Linked DNA regions of Sus scrofa. The protein of the gene in region 1 interacts with the protein of each later gene in a biochemical or structural test. Links are inferred from orthologs where the notes say so. Each region holds a gene or a part of one and is shown on either strand. Other genes may lie near its edges.

What was found.
Region 2: the proteins of DOK1 (region 1) and RASA1 form a complex in vitro, tested with the Homo sapiens proteins (2 studies listed by BioGRID, with this or other methods). The link is inferred for Sus scrofa from reciprocal best matches to the Homo sapiens genes DOK1 and RASA1.
Region 3: the proteins of DOK1 (region 1) and ABL1 form a complex in vitro, tested with the Homo sapiens proteins (5 studies listed by BioGRID, with this or other methods). The link is inferred for Sus scrofa from reciprocal best matches to the Homo sapiens genes DOK1 and ABL1.
Region 4: of the proteins of DOK1 (region 1) and LYN, one has a biochemical effect on the other in vitro, tested with the Homo sapiens proteins (2 studies listed by BioGRID, with this or other methods). The link is inferred for Sus scrofa from reciprocal best matches to the Homo sapiens genes DOK1 and LYN.
Region 5: of the proteins of DOK1 (region 1) and TEC, one has a biochemical effect on the other in vitro, tested with the Homo sapiens proteins (2 studies listed by BioGRID, with this or other methods). The link is inferred for Sus scrofa from reciprocal best matches to the Homo sapiens genes DOK1 and TEC.

What each region holds. Positions count from the first base shown.
Region 1 is NC_010445.4:68,494,569-68,498,748, forward strand, and holds the start of DOK1 (docking protein 1), read right to left. Parts: upstream 2,807-4,180; 5' UTR 2,770-2,806; coding exon 2,710-2,769; intron 2,328-2,709; coding exon 2,028-2,327; intron 1,871-2,027; coding exon 1,777-1,870; intron 1,597-1,776; coding exon 1,412-1,596; intron 1,171-1,411; coding exon 358-1,170; 3' UTR 1-357. UniProt on the Homo sapiens protein: DOK proteins are enzymatically inert adaptor or scaffolding proteins. They provide a docking platform for the assembly of multimolecular signaling complexes. DOK1 appears to be a negative regulator of the insulin signaling pathway.
Region 2 is NC_010444.4:94,973,580-94,977,123, reverse strand, and holds part of RASA1 (ras GTPase-activating protein 1), read right to left. Parts: intron 2,692-3,544; coding exon 2,519-2,691; intron 2,194-2,518; coding exon 2,034-2,193; intron 33-2,033; coding exon 1-32. UniProt on the Homo sapiens protein: Inhibitory regulator of the Ras-cyclic AMP pathway. Stimulates the GTPase of normal but not oncogenic Ras p21; this stimulation may be further increased in the presence of NCK1.
Region 3 is NC_010443.5:270,897,606-270,901,149, reverse strand, and holds part of ABL1 (tyrosine-protein kinase ABL1), read right to left. Parts: intron 3,406-3,544; coding exon 3,253-3,405; intron 1,463-3,252; coding exon 1,373-1,462; intron 1,047-1,372; coding exon 882-1,046; intron 1-881. UniProt on the Homo sapiens protein: Non-receptor tyrosine-protein kinase that plays a role in many key processes linked to cell growth and survival such as cytoskeleton remodeling in response to extracellular stimuli, cell motility and adhesion, receptor endocytosis, autophagy, DNA damage response and apoptosis.
Region 4 is NC_010446.5:75,794,970-75,797,219, reverse strand, and holds part of LYN (tyrosine-protein kinase Lyn), read left to right. Parts: intron 1-147; coding exon 148-350; 3' UTR 351-2,250. UniProt on the Homo sapiens protein: Non-receptor tyrosine-protein kinase that transmits signals from cell surface receptors and plays an important role in the regulation of innate and adaptive immune responses, hematopoiesis, responses to growth factors and cytokines, integrin signaling, but also responses to DNA damage and genotoxic agents.
Region 5 is NC_010450.4:38,078,863-38,082,406, reverse strand, and holds part of TEC (tyrosine-protein kinase Tec), read left to right. Parts: intron 1-2,333; coding exon 2,334-2,380; intron 2,381-3,312; coding exon 3,313-3,485; intron 3,486-3,544.

The DNA of each region.
Region 1 (4,180 bases):
CTGGCAAAGAACAACGCAGGGAGAAGGATCCAGACACAGCCCAGTGTCTCCCTGTAGCCCATCCAGGCCCCTCAAACTGCATCTACTCAGACCAAACACCCCTTTCCAGAGACTTGGTCCACCAGCTATGCCTTCCTTTGGTGGGGATGACTTAGAGGTGCTGGCCTCCCCCAGATCCCATCCCCGAGGCCCTGCCACCTGTCCCACTTCCATCCATGACTTCGTGGGACAGATCTTTCCCTTGACTCCCTTTGTCCCCTGGTCTCACGCATGTCCCTCTGGTTCCTGCTGGTTTTAATAGGTTTCTTTGACCCCCAGTGCCACCTCCTGGCAGCACCCCCAGCCTCGCCCTCCTTCTCATGTTGAGTCCTCCGACTTGACCCCCATCTTGTCAGTCCCCACTCCAGAGAGCCCACAGTCCCAGCTCCCCGAGGCTCCACTCTTCTGGACCTGGCTGTATAGGGCAGTGTCTGAGCTGTGGCCTTTGCTGCCACTGCCAGTTGCAGCCCGAGCTTCAGAGAAGGCCGGGCCCTGGGGCTTGGGAGCTGGGAAGGGCTTTGTGTTCCGAGGGGGTGGCACAGCGTAGTCATCAGTGGCGGGATTGTAGGGGAGCTCATAGCCCTCCTCCTTCACCCGAGCCTGGCACCACCATGCATCCTTGGGCTCCTGAGGCAGATCGTAGAGGCCCCGGAGAGCAGCGGGGGCCAGGCCTTCAGGTTCATCGTAGATGGGGTCTTCTTTGGGATCTGTCAACTTGGTCTTCAGCAGCTGCTGCTGCACATGCTCATACAAGTCCCAATAGAGCGGTTTCTTCAACTGTGCCCCCTCCCCTGCCCGAGCAGGAGTGCTGTCCAGGGGGTCTGAGTAGAGGGAATCTCGGGAAGGGCGTGGAGGAACGCGCAGGGAGTCTAAGGGTTCAGCGTACACAGCTGGAGGGTTGCCTGGCAGTTCCTGGGGGCCGGGGGGAGAAGCCAACGTCCCCTCCGCCACTTCTCCTTCATGGGAATCAGCTCTGAGAACATCCTGCCCCTGGACAGCCTTTCCCTGGGCCTTCTGCCGGTGGATAGCATTCTCCACTGCCTGAAAGATGTCATTCCCCTGTGCTGTCTGAAAGGTGAAGGTTCCAGGGCCGGAGGGGCAGCGGCGACCAGCCTCAAAAGAGAACATGACCTGAAGAGGGGTGGGGAGGGAATCAGGGAATCATTACCCAGAGTCCTCAGGGGAGGTGGGTCACAGGGCTGTAACTAGTTAGGGGACCCACGGAGAGGAGACCACCTGGGAAGGGAGGTGGGGTCAAGGGCTAGGCCAGAAAGGGTTATCCAGAGGGCAGAACTTCCCACATTCCTGTCCTGCCTCACCCATCCCACAGCTGCCCTACCCAGGGAACCAGCCCTCCCTGACGGCAGCGCACCTTGTCGCGGCCATAGCGACGCAACAGGGTGTAGGGCCAGGAAAGGAGTGGCTCCAATATCTGACTCTGGGCCGCCACGGCCAGGAGAGTCAGCTTCTCAGCCTCCACTCTCAGCACATAGGAGCCATGCAGGCCACAGCGCTCGGCGGCTTCAGTCCTCTGCGCAGTTACCCAGAACTGGGATCCTGGAAGGGATACAGTTAGACTAGCACCTGCGGGAGTGGCTTGCGGGGAAGGGGCAGGTTGTCCAAGCACACGTTTGAAAGCCGGCTCTCAGGAGCTTCCTCCTTGCCTTTGTAGGAACCACTCCCTTCCCAAGGACATTCTTTCCACCCCATCCCTGCTGGGGCTTCTTGGGCAACTACCTTCCCAGGCGGGGCTATACAGCGAGTTCTCCAGCATCTCCAGGGCAGAAAGCTTGGGTGGGTTCTCAGCAGGCGCCAGAGCCCAGCTGCCTTTCTGGGGTAGAGAGAGAGAGGCTGTAATTCCCTTCGACACCGTTCCCAGGCTCGGGGCCGCCCAGTTCCTCTGCAGCTGTAACTGCTCCCACCCGACATCGCCTCCTGGGCCCCGGGCAGCTCGCCCCAGACCCTCACCAACACCCCGGCCCCCTCACCGGAAAGGCGTTTCGGCACAGCGTTTGCACCCAGGCGACGCTAGACGGCGCGTCCGCCGCCAGCAGGTGGGAGCGCTGTGCGGTGTCCAGGCGGAAGGCTGCGGCGCCAGGCTCAGGGGGGCTCTCCACGGCCACCGGGGCCACGCTCACACACTCTGCCAGACGGATCACCTTGCAGTCCAGGCGGCGCGAGCCCCCTCGGCCCCCTCCAGAGCTCGGCCCCTTGTGGTCGAAGAACTCGAGCCGCGCGACGCCGTGGGGGCTGGCCGGGTAGAGCACCGCCCAGGTCTTCCTCCATCTCTGGGGAGACAGAGAGCCGAGGGAAGCTGGGCAGGGACCCGGCAAGTACCCGCGGCCCGGGCCCGACGGGGAAGGAAGGACGCGACCCGAGCCCAGACGGGGAAGGAAGGACCCGCGCAGGCCCATTTCAGGTCTGTGGCTTCCCGACGGCGGGCGAAGTTCCCTAAGGAGGATGCCGCTCTGTCTCCCCAGGACCAGAGGCGGCGTACCCGGAGGCCGGCAGACGCTTCTCCCGAGTGTGTGCAAAACATTTCAGCGGGACCGTCACAGGATCTCTGGCTCCCGGCGCTCCGCTCTATCCCGCTGCCCACCTCCTCCCTCCTGGGCTCAGTCGCCCACCCCTAACTCTGATGGGGGGTTCGACAACCCCTGCCCAGACTACCTTGGTACCGAAACGCTGACTCTGCAAAAACAGCGGCCCTTCCATCACGGCCCCGTCCATGGCCCCCGGCGGTTCCTTCGGCGCTTCCTGGCCCCGCGGGCCCCAGGCGGGGCCGGGCGGAGGGCGGGGCGGGGCGGGGCGGGGCCCGCGGGAGGCGTTCCCGCTCCTCCCCGACCTCCTAGGACCGCGAAAGGGAGGAAGGAGAGGAGCAAGAAGGAAGGGGAGGGGGTACCAGAGAAGCTGCACGGTGCACCACCTCCAGGCCCCTACCCCTATTCCTGGGTGGCTCTACCAAGTGGCTCTCTCAAGAGAAAACTCGTGGTTTCCATCAGAAAGTTCTGGCACCTGGGCTTGGGGACTGTGCGACCTCAGATGCTCAACTTGACTTCGGAATGAAGGCCGTGAAATCACCTCGAAAAATGCCAAAGGGCACACTGGGGCACCGGAGTAACCACGTGGGCCCTCGTGGCCACAATTCCTCCGATGGGACCCATCTCCAGCTAGGTCCGAGATGTGCTGTTTACGACCGGCAGAGCTGGGGATGTGGGGAAGGGCTGGGGACTGGAAGACTTCCCGGAGCGGAGATCCCCGCACGGCACGCAGCCCGCGACGGCCTGCGGCCCCGCGGCCCCTCATGTGCCCAGCTCTCCCGGCCGCAGCTGCCCAGCATCCAACCCCCGGGAAAAGAAAGCTTTATTAAACAGACTGGGAGGGGCGGGGAGGAGGGCGGGAGGGAGGTGGAGCAACAGCAGCGGCCAGCTCTCCAAGGAGGAGGGGGAGAGAAGAGGAGGGAACTGGCCTGCGAGGGATCAAGGGAGAAGGCGGAATGTGGGAGGGCCCAGGGGGACTTGGGAGGAACGAAAGGAGAGGGGGGAGAAAAGGGGGGGATCCAGTCTCCCCTGGCAGAGCACTTTTTTTGGAAGTCCTAGGACTGATCTCCAGGACCAGGACTCTTCTCCCAGCCGCTAGAGCCCCGCTCAGGCCAAGGTAGGGGGAGTCAGGCTGCCGGCAGGATGAAGGGGAGTTGCGGATGGAGAGGATGGTGGAAGGAGCAGGGGAAAGGCGTGATGTGGGATAGAATCAAAGGGAAGCCAACCTACTGAGGGCTCTATTTTTGTCAAAGAAGAGGAAGGCAGGAGGAAAGTGGAGAAAGGAAGCAGGTATTGGGGGGTGGGGTACAGGGTGTTCCAAATAGGGCAGCCGGGAGGGCCCTGAGGCTGGGGGCTCCTCTGTGAGGCCCCATCCCTGGGTCCCCAAGCCAAGATGTGCCCGAACAAAGCTGTCTTGTTGGGTTGTTTGTCTGAGTTGGGGGAAGCATGTTGGGGGTGGGGGGAGCTCCCTGTAGAGGGGCTGTTCTCCGCTCCACACGGAAGGAAAGGCCTTGGCTGAGAAACTGATTGGTGCCCTCGCCTCCGGTTGCCCGGTGATGGCGGTGGCGGTGTTGGCCAGAGGCTTGGACAACCCCACCCCA
Region 2 (3,544 bases), on another chromosome or scaffold:
TGTTGTGGCTCGAAATAGAGTAGTGGCTTCATCTACATAAATATATTAAAAGATTGTTTGTAAAGGATTGTATTAATGTGAACCAAATTGAAAATTAAATCAATTCATTTTTCCTCAACCAATTATCATTTAAACATGCTTATTTGCAATCAGCAATAAAGTATTGATTATACTGACATTCTATATTTCTATAAACATAATTCTTTAAAAGATCATAATTTATCCTTAATTCTTAATTAAATCTTAAATAATGAATTAAGATAAAGAATTAATTCTTGGAGTTCCCATCGTGGCTCAGAGGAATGAATCTGACTAGCACCCATGAGGACACAGGTTCAATCCCTGGCCTCAGTCAGTGGGTTAAGGATCTGGCAATTCCATGAGCTATGGTTTAGGTAGTAGATGCAGTTCGGATCCCACGTTGCTGTGGCTGTGGTGTAGGCCAGCGGCTATAGCTCTGATTTGACCCTTAGCCTGGGAACCTCTATATGCCACGGGTCCGGCCCTAAAAAGACAATAAATAAATAAATAAATAAATAAATTCTTAATCTTCATTAGATCATAAACAGGAGAGGAATTAACACTGCCATGTTCATATCACAAAACAAAGAGTTGGAGTTCCTGTTGTCGCTCAGTGGGTTAAGAATCAGACCTGTATCCATGAGGATGCAGTTTCCATCCCTGACCTTGCTCAGTGGTTTAAGGATCTGGTGTTGCCGCAAGCTGTAGAGTGGGTCACAGATGTGGCTCAGATCCTGTGTTGCCCTGGCTGTGGCTCAGGCCAGCACCTGCAGCTCCAATTTGACCCCTAGCCTAGGAACTTCCATATACTACTGCAGGTGCGGCCCTAAAAAGTTATAAAAAATAAAATCTCTAAGTTAATCTTAAAAAAAAAAGAAAAAACCAAAAACTTTTGAAAGTGATATAACTTATCATCTAGGACTAAAGAACCAAATAGTGACAAAACTTAGCGCCAGAATGTAGCTTTTTCTTTCTACTGAGCTCATGCTTTAAAAAAAATCTGAGCTAATTTCCAAGCAAGAATGCACAATAAAATCCCAGTATAAATTAACTTATTAGCCTAAGCATAGCTATTAATGACATTAGTAAAATCCTAAAAAATGCAAGTATTACCAGAAAAGACAATCTTAATGCAAAACATGTACCACCACTTTATCTTTCCTGACAAATATATATATTTTTACATTTTTTTATGACTAGGAGGAAATAGTTCTGGGTATTACAGTTTATTTGGGGAATCCAGAAGCAAGGACTATTACTGAGTCAAAGTGCTGGTTGTAAATCCCTTTTTATAACATATTTATAAGCTGTTACAAAGATCGTGTCCAGCTATACTGCCTAGAACTACCTATCATAGAAGCTAGAAATAAAATGCAGACACCTAACTTGTACAATGAATTTTTAAATGAAAAATAAACAAGAGAATATGGAAATAGCCAAACTTCTTAATAATCAAGCACTGTGAACCATTGATCTGGACATGGAAGTCACTTTCTTATAGCACCTAATACTAATTTGCCATGACAGAAACTTGTATTTGAAATACTAACAGCAGTTCCTGTGGTGGCTCAGTAGTTAACGAATCTGACTAGGAACCATGAGGTTGTGGGTTCGATCCCTGGCCTCGCTCAGTGGGTTAAGGATCTGGTGTTGCCGTGAGCTGTGGAGTACGTCACAGACGCGGCTCGTATCCCACGTCGCTGTGGCTCTGGCATAGGCCGGCAGCTACAGCTCCAATTAGACCCCTAGCCTGGAAACCTCCATATTCTGAGGGTGTAGCCCTAGAAAAGACAAAAAAGAAAAAGAAATAATAGCTGCTCCCCATTAGCCAGCATAAAGAATCAGAAATGACATTCCAACTGTAATTTTTAAAGAAGGAAAAACAGTAACTTACTTTGTAAGATAATTTAACTATTTAATATAGTCTAAGATGGAGTCTGTATATACTTGATATATATAAAACCTATTAATCCAATTTTTAAAAGTATCACAGAAACACATCCATACTATACCTTCCATGCTTATTTCTCTGTCATTTAGTGTACATAACAACAAGGATTCAAGCTTTTCATGAAGAAAAATCCTCAGTAGGATGCTAGCCAGTAGTGTTCGATCCTGTCCACATACATGTGATAAAGCATTGACTACATGAAGCTCCTTTTGCAGTATAAGCTAAAAATGACATCAGGAAAAATAATTGAAAGTAAGAGAGCATTAAGCATTCTCAGATTAACAGGAAATTATGTTTTTATACATTCTTATATTTAGGAATATGTTCTATTGAATAAATGTATTAAAAATAGAATGAGTTTGTAAGCTACATATTTATAGTCTCTTAAGACCAATAGCATACTGCTGCACGGCTTTTTAACCTTCTCTGCCTGTCAGTGTGCCATTAAACTATGAAATTACTACATTTAACTCAATGGATCTTTCATTAAAAGTATTTCTTGCTAATGCCATTAAAAACAATTAGACTAGTAAATAACTTTAATACCTCTTTAAATTCGCTGTATTCTTCTTCTGGCATGATTTTTTCCATAGAATATCGTGCTCGGACACGCAGAGATCCTGGTTCAATACCTTTTAATGGTATATGGGAGCTGAGCAAAAACCATTCATCTGTGGCATGCCCTTTCTGTAACCGGCTCAATTGGCAGCGCATAAATACTTTGATAGAAAAACATGAAATGATTACTGTCTAAAAAGATGACACCGTAATTAGTCACGCAAATTTTCCTAACATTCCATCTTCTCAATAATGTTAAATGCTTTCCGTTAAAGGGGTTTCCAATAATATGATAAATTCAGTACTTAATGTTTACTTCATTCATTTACCGAATGCCTATTATGTGCCATAGTCTCTGAGAGGCAGGGATGTGGGATACAGACTTTATTAAAACACACTCTCTGACTTATATGGAAATCAGAGTCTAGCCAAGGAGGCAAGAAATCAATTACAATGTGAGAAGGGCTATTAACAATGGTTAATGTGAATGAAGTACAGAGAAATAATATCTAATTCAGCCTGTGGAGGCTAAAACCCCTTTCACACAGGTACCCCTCAGGTTGACTTACAACAGGATCTGGAGATAAAGCTAAGTAGAAATGTACTGGAAAAAAGAGAGTATGTGCATAATCTGAATAGATGGTATTGTGGATGCTTTTATCCATGGACTAGGAGTTCCCATTGCGGTTCAGCGGTAAAGAATCTGACTAGCATCTATGAGGAAACGGATTCAATCCCTGGCCTTGCTCGGTGGGTTAAGGGTCCGGCATTGCCATGAGCTGTGGCATACAGATCGCATATGCAGCCCAGATTTGGTGTTGCTCTGGCTGTGGCGTAGACTGGCAGAGGCAGCTCCAATTTGACTCCTAGCCTGGGAACCTCCATATGCCAAAGGTTTGGCCCTAAAAAGACAAAAACAAAAAAACAAAAACCATGAACTATTCAAGAGCTGTAAGAAAGCTGGTATAGAATCTGGAAAAGGATAGATGTGTGCATATGTATAACTGAATCACT
Region 3 (3,544 bases), on another chromosome or scaffold:
TAGTCGGATTCGTTAACCACTGCGCCACGACGGGAACTCCCAATTCCCTCAACTTTAAAACATTAACAGAGGTACATGATGACAAAGCTGGGCATCATGGGGGTCTACAGACTCTGCTGTGGCTAGACACCCCACAGCCCTGCCCTGTCCCTTCCCCTTCCCCCGGGTGTGGTCCGTCAGAGCATCCCCAAGGAGCTGCTACCCACCCAGGCGCCTGGTCCACCTCGGGCGTGTCCATTCATTGGCCTGACGGGAACCCAGACCTCCCAATTTCCTTTCCTGTCGGGGCTGAATCGGAGCGGCCTAACCCAGCGTCACGCCTGGCGCAAAGGAAGCATCGGACCCACACTTTCGAATGCTGTTCCTGGTAACATCCTAGGACCCTCCCGAACGGCTCCCACGCCCTCGCCGTGGGTCTAGGGAGCAGCCCCAGAAGGAGCCTCCTCTCAGACGAGAGGACACCAGCTCTGCCACAGGTGTCTCCTGGCTCTGTCAGTTCCAGGGAGCTTCTCGCTTTGCTGCTTTCGCAACAAGCTGCTCTTTGTTTGGTTCAGTATTTATTATTGCTGCATCTGCTCTGAAAGAGCAGCCACCAATGCTGTGACTAACACATGAAAGGGTGTGTTCGCTCTTAGTATGTTTCATAAGCACCTCTGCCTGTGTGACTAGACTAACAGCCACAGCCAGTGGCTCCTGAATGATTTGCAGAGGGAGCGCTTTACTGTGGGAGAAGAAGGATCTTCCTCTTTTTGAAGCTGGGCCACTAACGTGGGGTCCACTTGCCCTTCTGTGCAGGTTCCGCTCCCTGCTTCCCATCTGCCTGCACCGGCACCCGGCTCCGGGGCCAGCTGCCCTGGGCTCTGGCGGGGGTGGGGACATACCCGTCTCTCCCGGGCCCTTGGAGTGGGGCGTCTCGGGCACGTCTGGGGCGTCTTTGTGTTCGGCGGCTCTCCTGGCGGTCCTGGTCTTGGTGGGCAGTTCCGGGGCCTGCAGCAGAGGGCTCGCGGCCCCTCGCATGCCTTTCTTCCCCAGCTCCTTTTCCACTTCTAAGAACCACCGAAAAATCAATAACAAAACCAGGAGTCATCAGTATTGATGTCCTTTTGGTATGCTGGTTTTCCTTTTCTTTTTAAGACAGCAGTAGTCATCTATACACAGTTACAGAGAAGAGACACACATCCCGAAAAAGCAGCACCGGAGCAGACTTCAGAGTCCTGGCTGCCAAAGACAGAGGGCCACACTCAGCAGCTTGACCGCTGGCCCGTGCTCTCGACCAGGAGGGACTGAAGGACCGGGCTGGAGTCCCGCCCGGCCCTCCCTCCCACCCCACCCTCTCCCCCCACTGCAGGCACCCCAAGGACGGGCACATTACCATCTGATATGCTGGATTCCTGGAACATTGTTTCAAAGGCTTGGTGGATTTCCGCAAAGGAGGGCCGGTCAGAGGGATTCCACTGCCAACCTAGACAGATGAGACCCAAGCCGGACCACCCGTGAGGCTTTGCGAACAAGAGGAAGACTAGCAATCCTCAAGGCAAAGTCGAGAAACTGAAGAAGCATTCCGGTCCCGCTGGCCATCTTGTGCTGTGACAAGTTAAAGTGACGACTGCCACTGAGTCCTATTACAGACCCCGGGAATCTGAGACGACGTTGGGTACGGGCGGGAATGCGGATTATAACACAGGACAGCAACAAGTACATTTACAAAGATGTTTTTCCCAACCCGCCTCTAGCAAGTGCAGAGAATCACTAAACCAAATAGCTTGCTTCCTGTCCTAACCTTTCCTCGCAGTCACCAAAGTCTGAATTCCTCATCAGTAAAGACATGCTCCTTAAAACAAGACGAAAAGGAGATTAAGGACCGACGCAGCCCAGTGTAGGCGAGGCTGTAGCGTCCCCCTTACAGACTTCTGTTGGGAGTATAAACTAATATAACCTTTTTTACAAAACAATTTGGTAACACCTATCAACATTTTAAAATGCACAGAGCCCCCTGAACTACAGGTTCAACTTCTGCAAGACACCAGAATGCGCAGAGGCATACGTATCTACGAGGGAACTGGTTCCTGCCTTGTCCGTAAGAGCAAAAAACAAACAAATGTATACAGCAAACACATGTCCATCAAAGGAGGATGGGATGAATGAATAAATTACGCAATAGGTGCTGGGCAGCTACGTGAAGATAAGAGTGGGTGAAGGAGAAGGGGAAGAGCACGGGAAATCATGGGCGTGGAAAGAGACGCCCGCTACACTGCCAAGTGCAAAAAGGCTGAAGAAGTGAGTTTTTATCATACATACACACATATACGTACACATAAATACATCAAAAGCCGAGTGGACAGGAGTCCCCATTGTGGCTCCATGGAAATGAACCCGACTGGTATCCATGAGGATATGGGTTCAATCCCTGACCCCGCTCAGTGGGTTAAGGATCTGGCATTGCCATGAGCTGTGGTGTAGGTCGCAGACACGGCTAGGATCCCATGTTGCTGTGGCTGTGGTGTAGGCCGGAAGCTACAGCTCAGATTCAAACCCCCAGCTTGGGAACCTCCATGTGCCAGAGGTGTGGCCCTAAAAAGACCAAAAAAAAAAAAAGTTGAAGGAATGAATTTTTATATATACATACACACATATATATACATATTAATAAATTAAAAACTGAGTGGACAGGAGTTCACATTGTGGCTCAGTGGAAATGAACCTGACTGGTATCCATGAGGATATGGGTTCAATCCCTGACCCCGCTCAGTGGGTTAAGGAGCCGGCACTGCTGTGAGCTGTGGTATAGGTTGTAGATGCAGCTCGGATCTGGCATTGTGTGGCTGAGGTGCAGGCTGGCAGCTGTAGCTCTGACTTGACCCCTAACCTGGGAATTTCCGTGGGCCTCACTTGAGGCCCTAAAATAAATTAAACCACCACCAAAACCGAGTGGATGAAAATCACCTGGAATATTTACCTACTATACCAGCAATTTATATTTATTAATAAGAAACCCAGGTTTGGTATCCATCCACGTCACTTTTGCATTAAGAACAAACAAAAGACCCTCACATATAAATACTATGTAAAACTAAAGGTGCACAGACACACTGGAAAAGGTACAATGCTATGCGCCAAACTGTCACACGAGTTGTTTCTGAAGGAGGGAAGGAGAGGAAGCAAGCGAGCGCTTTGGCCTCGCCCTGCCCGGGTCTCCTCAACGCCCCCCGACCTGGGGAAGTCCCACGCTTCCCTTCCCAAAGGGAGGCTCACATGCTCGCATGAGTTCGTAGACCTTCTCCGGGCAGCCTTCCGGGCGCTCCATGCGGTAGTCTTTCTCTAGCAGCTCATACACCTGGGACAGGTCAATTCCTGGGTAAGGTGACATGCCGTAGGTGGCAATTTCCCAAAGCAAGACTCCAAACGCTAAAAGACAAAGAGCAAGAGCAAGACAGCTCAAGATGTGGGAGCTTTAACCACCGTGCACTGGAAAGCAGGAAACCGCGCCGCAGACGTCAGAAGCCACGCCCTCAGAAGCAGGCCAGGCACGGACACTTCACGAGGC
Region 4 (2,250 bases), on another chromosome or scaffold:
GGGCGAGGACGGCAGGGGAGGGGGCGGCGGGAACACAGTCAGCCCACAGCAGTCTCCAGAGCGCATCCAGGCTGGATGCAGGGTGCGGGTACCAGGCCTCGCGGAGCTCGGGCAGCTCTCTAAACGCCGTGGGTTTCTCTGCCTCAGGGAGAACTAACGCGGACGTGATGGCCGCCCTGTCGCAGGGCTACAGGATGCCCCGTATGGAGAACTGCCCCGATGAGCTCTATGACATCATGAAGATGTGCTGGAAAGAGAAGGCGGAGGAGAGGCCCACCTTCGACTACCTGCAGAGCGTCCTGGACGACTTCTACACGGCCACCGAGGGCCAGTACCAGCAGCAGCCCTAGCGCGGGGACTCGGCCACTCCCGGGATGGCGGCCTCCTCCACCAGGAACAGAGAGCAGCCCCTGGTCCTCGGTTCATTTCCTGAGCTGGGGGCACCTGCCGTCCCTGCTTCCCGCACGTGAGGTGAAGCTACTCAGGAAGAACTCTCTCCACGGGAAAGGATTCTCCTCTCGGGCCAGGGCCTGCCAGGGTGCCCCCCGAGAGCAGACTGGCTCGGCTGGACCCACATCTGGGCACAGGCTTCTGAGGAGAAAGCACCAGACCCACCCAAGGGCGCCCCGGTCAGCTCTTGTTGACAAGAGGCTGTGCCCCCACCCAGGTTCAGAGACCCGTCCAGTAAACCCCCGTTAGGAGAGAACTAAACTCACTGATCAGCATCAAATAACCTGATACCTTTTATGACACTTTTTTGTATTTTCTCTGTGCTTTAGCTTATGTGTTAAAAACAAAAAATTACTAATCTCTGTTAGAGTTTGCAAAAGTGACGTCCGGAGCTTTGGTGTCTTTCCCAGATCTCAGTCCGAGACTGTTAAACGTTGCCCATGGCAGAGACCAGCCTGGAACCCCAGCCGGGAAGAAGCGTCCTCTGCAAGTGGGCAGGGCTGCCGTGCTAAGTGACACGGGCGCCCCCACCCCCCACCCCAAGCCACTGGGGCCTCTGCCCAGACCCCCATGACCCTGTCCCGGAAAAGAGCTGCAGAAACTACTCGGCCGTTAAGAAGAAAGATTTTTAAAGGTCCAGCTTTTCAATTCCACACTTTTCCGTATATGGACTTTTTTGGACCATGTAGTTTGGAAAATTTTAATCCCTGCAGAACATTCTAGGACCTTACAAAACATGAGCATTTTCTTTATTGCTTCCAGTGATTTTGAACATTATTTTAATGATCAAATATTAATTTTAGTCATACTCTAGAAAGTCAACGTGCCATATTTGGGGGCACTTTTGTGATTCAGCAATCTTTTCTAAATTGTGTGACGTGTATGTGAGACTATTTATATGAGGAAATGAAGGGAAAGAAATGAGTAGGGGGCTCGTTACCGAGCCCCTGGAGCAGGGACCACGAGAGGTTTTTCTATTACATTTTTCTACTCTAAGCTTTGAATGGAGATGCTCTGTCACATGTTCCACTTATGCTTTGTGTATATACCTAATATTTCTATTTTTGATTTTATTTTAATACACCTGGCCCAATAACATCTCAAGCTTCTCATTGGTGTTGAGTATTTCCAATGGTTATCTATGTCAAAATGAGTACCAATTAGGGGGTGATTCCACTAGTTACATCACTGAAAAAAATTTGTACAAGTTCTGGGAGTTCCCATTGTGGTGCAATAGAAACAAACCTGACTAGCCTCCATGAGGATGCGGGTTCAATCCCTGGCCTCACTCAGTGGGTTAAGGATCCAGCATTGTCCTGAGCTATGGTCTGGCTGGCGGCTGTAGCTCCGATTTGACCCCTAGCCTGGGAAACTCCATATGCCGTTGTGCAGCCCTAAAAAAAAAAAAAAAAAAAAAAAAAAAAAAAAATTTGTGCAAATTCTGTCTCCATCCCTCAGGTGTTTTCAGATTAGAGAACTGAAGACTTGATGGCCTGCACACCCGGCCATCCCTTTCTAAGGGCCAAACAGGATTTGTTTTCAAAGAGGCTTAGTGGGCACCATTGTAATTTAATTTTATATGTGCTGCCTGGGTGTTGGGTACCTGGGAGAGGGATGAAATTTTCTGCTTTTTCCTAAATTTGGACTTCTTTTCCCATGTGATTTTTTTTTTAAAAGGCCTTTTCTAAAATATTCTAAAATTCTCCATTCTCCAGAGCCATCTTCACAATGGTAAACTTATCATCATATAACGTCTGCACAGCTGGTCACCTGACTCTCAACAGTGTGCTTTCAACATAC
Region 5 (3,544 bases), on another chromosome or scaffold:
TTTTATTTTTTGCTATTTCTTTGGGCCGCTTCCACGGCATATGGAGGTTCCCAGGCTAGGGTTCTAATCAGAGCCATAGCCGCCGGCCTACGCTAGAGCCACAGCAACTCGGGATCTGAGCCGCATCTGCAACCTACACCACAGCTCACGGCAACGCCGGCTCCTTAACCCACTGAGCAAGGGCAGGGATCGAACCTGCAACCTCATGGTTCCTAGTCGGATTCATTAACCGCTGCGCCACAATGGGAACTCCTGCTTTTATTTTATTTTTAATTTTTTAAAGTTTTATTGAAGTATAGTTAATTTATAAAGTAAAGCATACAACACTTCACTTCTGCTGTACAACAAAGTGACCCAGTTCTATACATATACACATATCCATTCTCTCTCACATTCTTTTCCCACATAGATTATCACAGAATACTGGCTAGAGTTCTCTGGGCCATGCAACAGGTCCCCGTTGGCTAATCATTCCATAGACCTCAGTGTGCCTATGCCCATCCCAAACCCCCAGTCCATCCCTCCCACCCCCCAACCTGTTCTCTTTGCTAACCATAAGTTTTTCAAAGTCTGTGCATCATCTCTTTCTGTTCTGCAAATAAGTTCACTTGTATCTTTTTTTTTTTTTTTGGCCCATTTTTAGGGCTGCACCCAAGGCATATGGAGGTTCCCAGGCTAAGGGTCGAATTGGAGCTGTAGCCACTGGCCTACGCCACAGCCACAGCAACTTGGGACCCGAGCCTCGTCTGCGATCTACACCACAGCTCACAGCAACACCAGATTCTTAACCCATTGAGAGAGGCCAGGGCTCAAACCCAAGTCGTCATGTATACTAGGTAGTTTCGTTAACCACTGAGCCACGATGGAAACGCCCTCATTTGTATCCTTTTTTAAAGATTCCACATATAGGTGATATCATGTGATGTTTGTCTTTTACTGTCTGACTAACTTCATTTAGTCTGATGGTTTCTAGGACCATCCATGTTGCTGCAAATGGCATTATTTCTTTCTTTTTTATGGCTGAATAATATTCCGTAGTATATATGTACCACATCTTCTTTATCCGTTTCTCTGTTGATGGACATTTAGGTTGCTTCCATGTCTTGGCTCTTGTAAATAGCACTGCAATGAATTTTGGGGTACATGTATCTTTTTGAATTATTTCCTTCTTTTTCTAAGGCTAGTATTCTGTTGTATATATGTACCACATCTTCTCTGTTTATCTGTTGATGGACGCGTAGGTTGTGTCCATACCTTGGCTATTGTGAAGAGTGCTGCAGTGAACATGGGATTGCAGATAGCTCTTTAAGCTACTGATTTCACTTCCATTGTGTGTATACCCAGACATTGCTAAATCATACGGTGGTTCTATTTTTAATTTTTAGAGGAACCTCCCTATTATTTTATGTAGTGGTTGCACCAATTTACATTCCTACCAACAGTGAACAAGGGTTCCCTTTTCTCCACATGCTCACTGGCATTTGTTATCATGTGTGTTTTTTATAAGCATCATCCTAATACAAATGAGGTGATATCTTTTTGTAGTTTTGATTTGCATTTCCCTGTGATTAGTGATGTCGAGCACTTTTTAATGTACCTGTTGGCCATCTGTACGTCTTCTTTTAAAAAGCGTGTGTTTAGGTCCTTTGTCCTTTTTTGAGTTGTTTGTTTTACTGTTGAGTTGTACAAGTTCCTTGTATATTTTGGATATTAACCTCTTATCAGATATAGATAAGGTTTGCAAACATTTTCTCCCTTTCTATAGGCTGTCTTTTCATTTTGTCGATGGTTTCCTTTACGTAGCAGAAGCTCTTTGGTTTGATGTAGTCCCATTGGTTTGTAATGAATAAGACATGGCCTCAGTCCCTATGGTATTTATAATCTGTTCAAGAAGGCAGAAATACAAACCGATTTTAGTAGTATTTTAAGATTCTGGGGAGTTCCCATTGTGGTGCAGTGGAAACAAATCCAACTAGTATCCATGAGGATAACACTTTGATCCCCAGCCTTGCTCAGTGGGTTAAGGATCCAGCATTGCTGTGAGCTGTGGTGTAGGTTGCAGATGTGACTTGGATCCGGTGTTACTATGGCTGTGGTATAGGCCAACAGCTGCAATTCTGATTCCACCCTTAGCCTGGGAACTTCCATATGCCATGGGTACAGCCCTAAAAAGCAAAAAGGAAAAAAAAAAAAAAAAAAGGAAAAAAAAGATTCTGTTCGAAAATAGTGCAACGTGGACCTCTTGTTTTGGGTTCACATTTACTTTTCCTTAAGACTTTCAATTATTGGTAGGTGGCGTTTTGACATTTTTTGATCTTAATTATTATTTTCAGGTATAAGAAAAGCACTACCTCCAGCACCAGCACCAGAAAAAAAGAAGGTAAAGTGGTCTTTAATGTTCAGAAGCATTTGCAGTTGATTAAGAACATTTATATTCATTTGTGTGATGCTGCCCCTCTGCAAAGATCGTATCAGAAATGGATAGACTGTGGCTTACTTGATTTTTATCTTGATGTCAAACTATATCATTTAATTGAATCAGATATTATCATTGGGGGCCCTCTTATCATCTGACAGTTTGATTGTATCTTAGATTCAAGAGTTGCATAAGATGTGTGGGACTTTAAAGGAATATTTCAATCTTAAGACCACAGTATTATGACAAGGGAGTGCAGTCAGTGATTTAATGATGTCCCTTTGAATAGTGAGCTATCGTGGAAAACACATGTGCTTTGGACTCAGAGAGAAGCTGGTTCAATGTAAATCTGATATGAGTGACTTTGGGTAGGTTACTTAAACCACTGTTTTTTCCGTTGTAAAGTGAGAGTTGCATACTCTACCTCATGGGATCGGAATTGAGAGTAAATGAGAAAAAGTGTGCTAGGTACTAAGAGTGTACCTTGCACATAGTAGGTGCAAAGAAGTGAAAATCCCTTTGTGCAGGAGGAGACCTGATGCAAGACTATGCCATAGTGCCCCTTTCCCCAGCTCTGGCCATTAAATGCTGGGGTTGCCTTGAGTCCTCCCAGTTTGTAGTCACATGTTACCCTTGCCTCTCCCTGGAAAACCTGCCCTGACACTGAGCAGAAGCCTCCTGATGTTTAAAGACAGCTTTTGCCCTTGTCCTATATTCTGAAACCCATGAGCAGCCCAGTAGCATCAACATCATTTAACTCATTGGGGGGGGGGGGGGGGATTCACCAGATTGTCTTAGACTCGATTCTCTGGTGATGTGCATATCAGTTAGTGTTTTACCTCGCATCTGATTTCAAACAGAAGACTAAATTCTCACATGGTATCTCCTATCCTTAGCGAAGGCCTCCCCCACCAATTCCACCCGAAGAAGATAATAGTGAAGAAATCGTGGTAGCCATGTATGACTTCCAAGCAACGGAAGCACATGATCTCAGATTAGAGAGAGGCCAGGAGTATATCATCCTAGAAAAGAATGATGTTCACTGGTGGAGAGCAAGAGATAAATATGGGTGAGTATTCCCTCTCTGTGGATGGTACACAGTGGATGGCCCAGAGTTCAATACTGTGA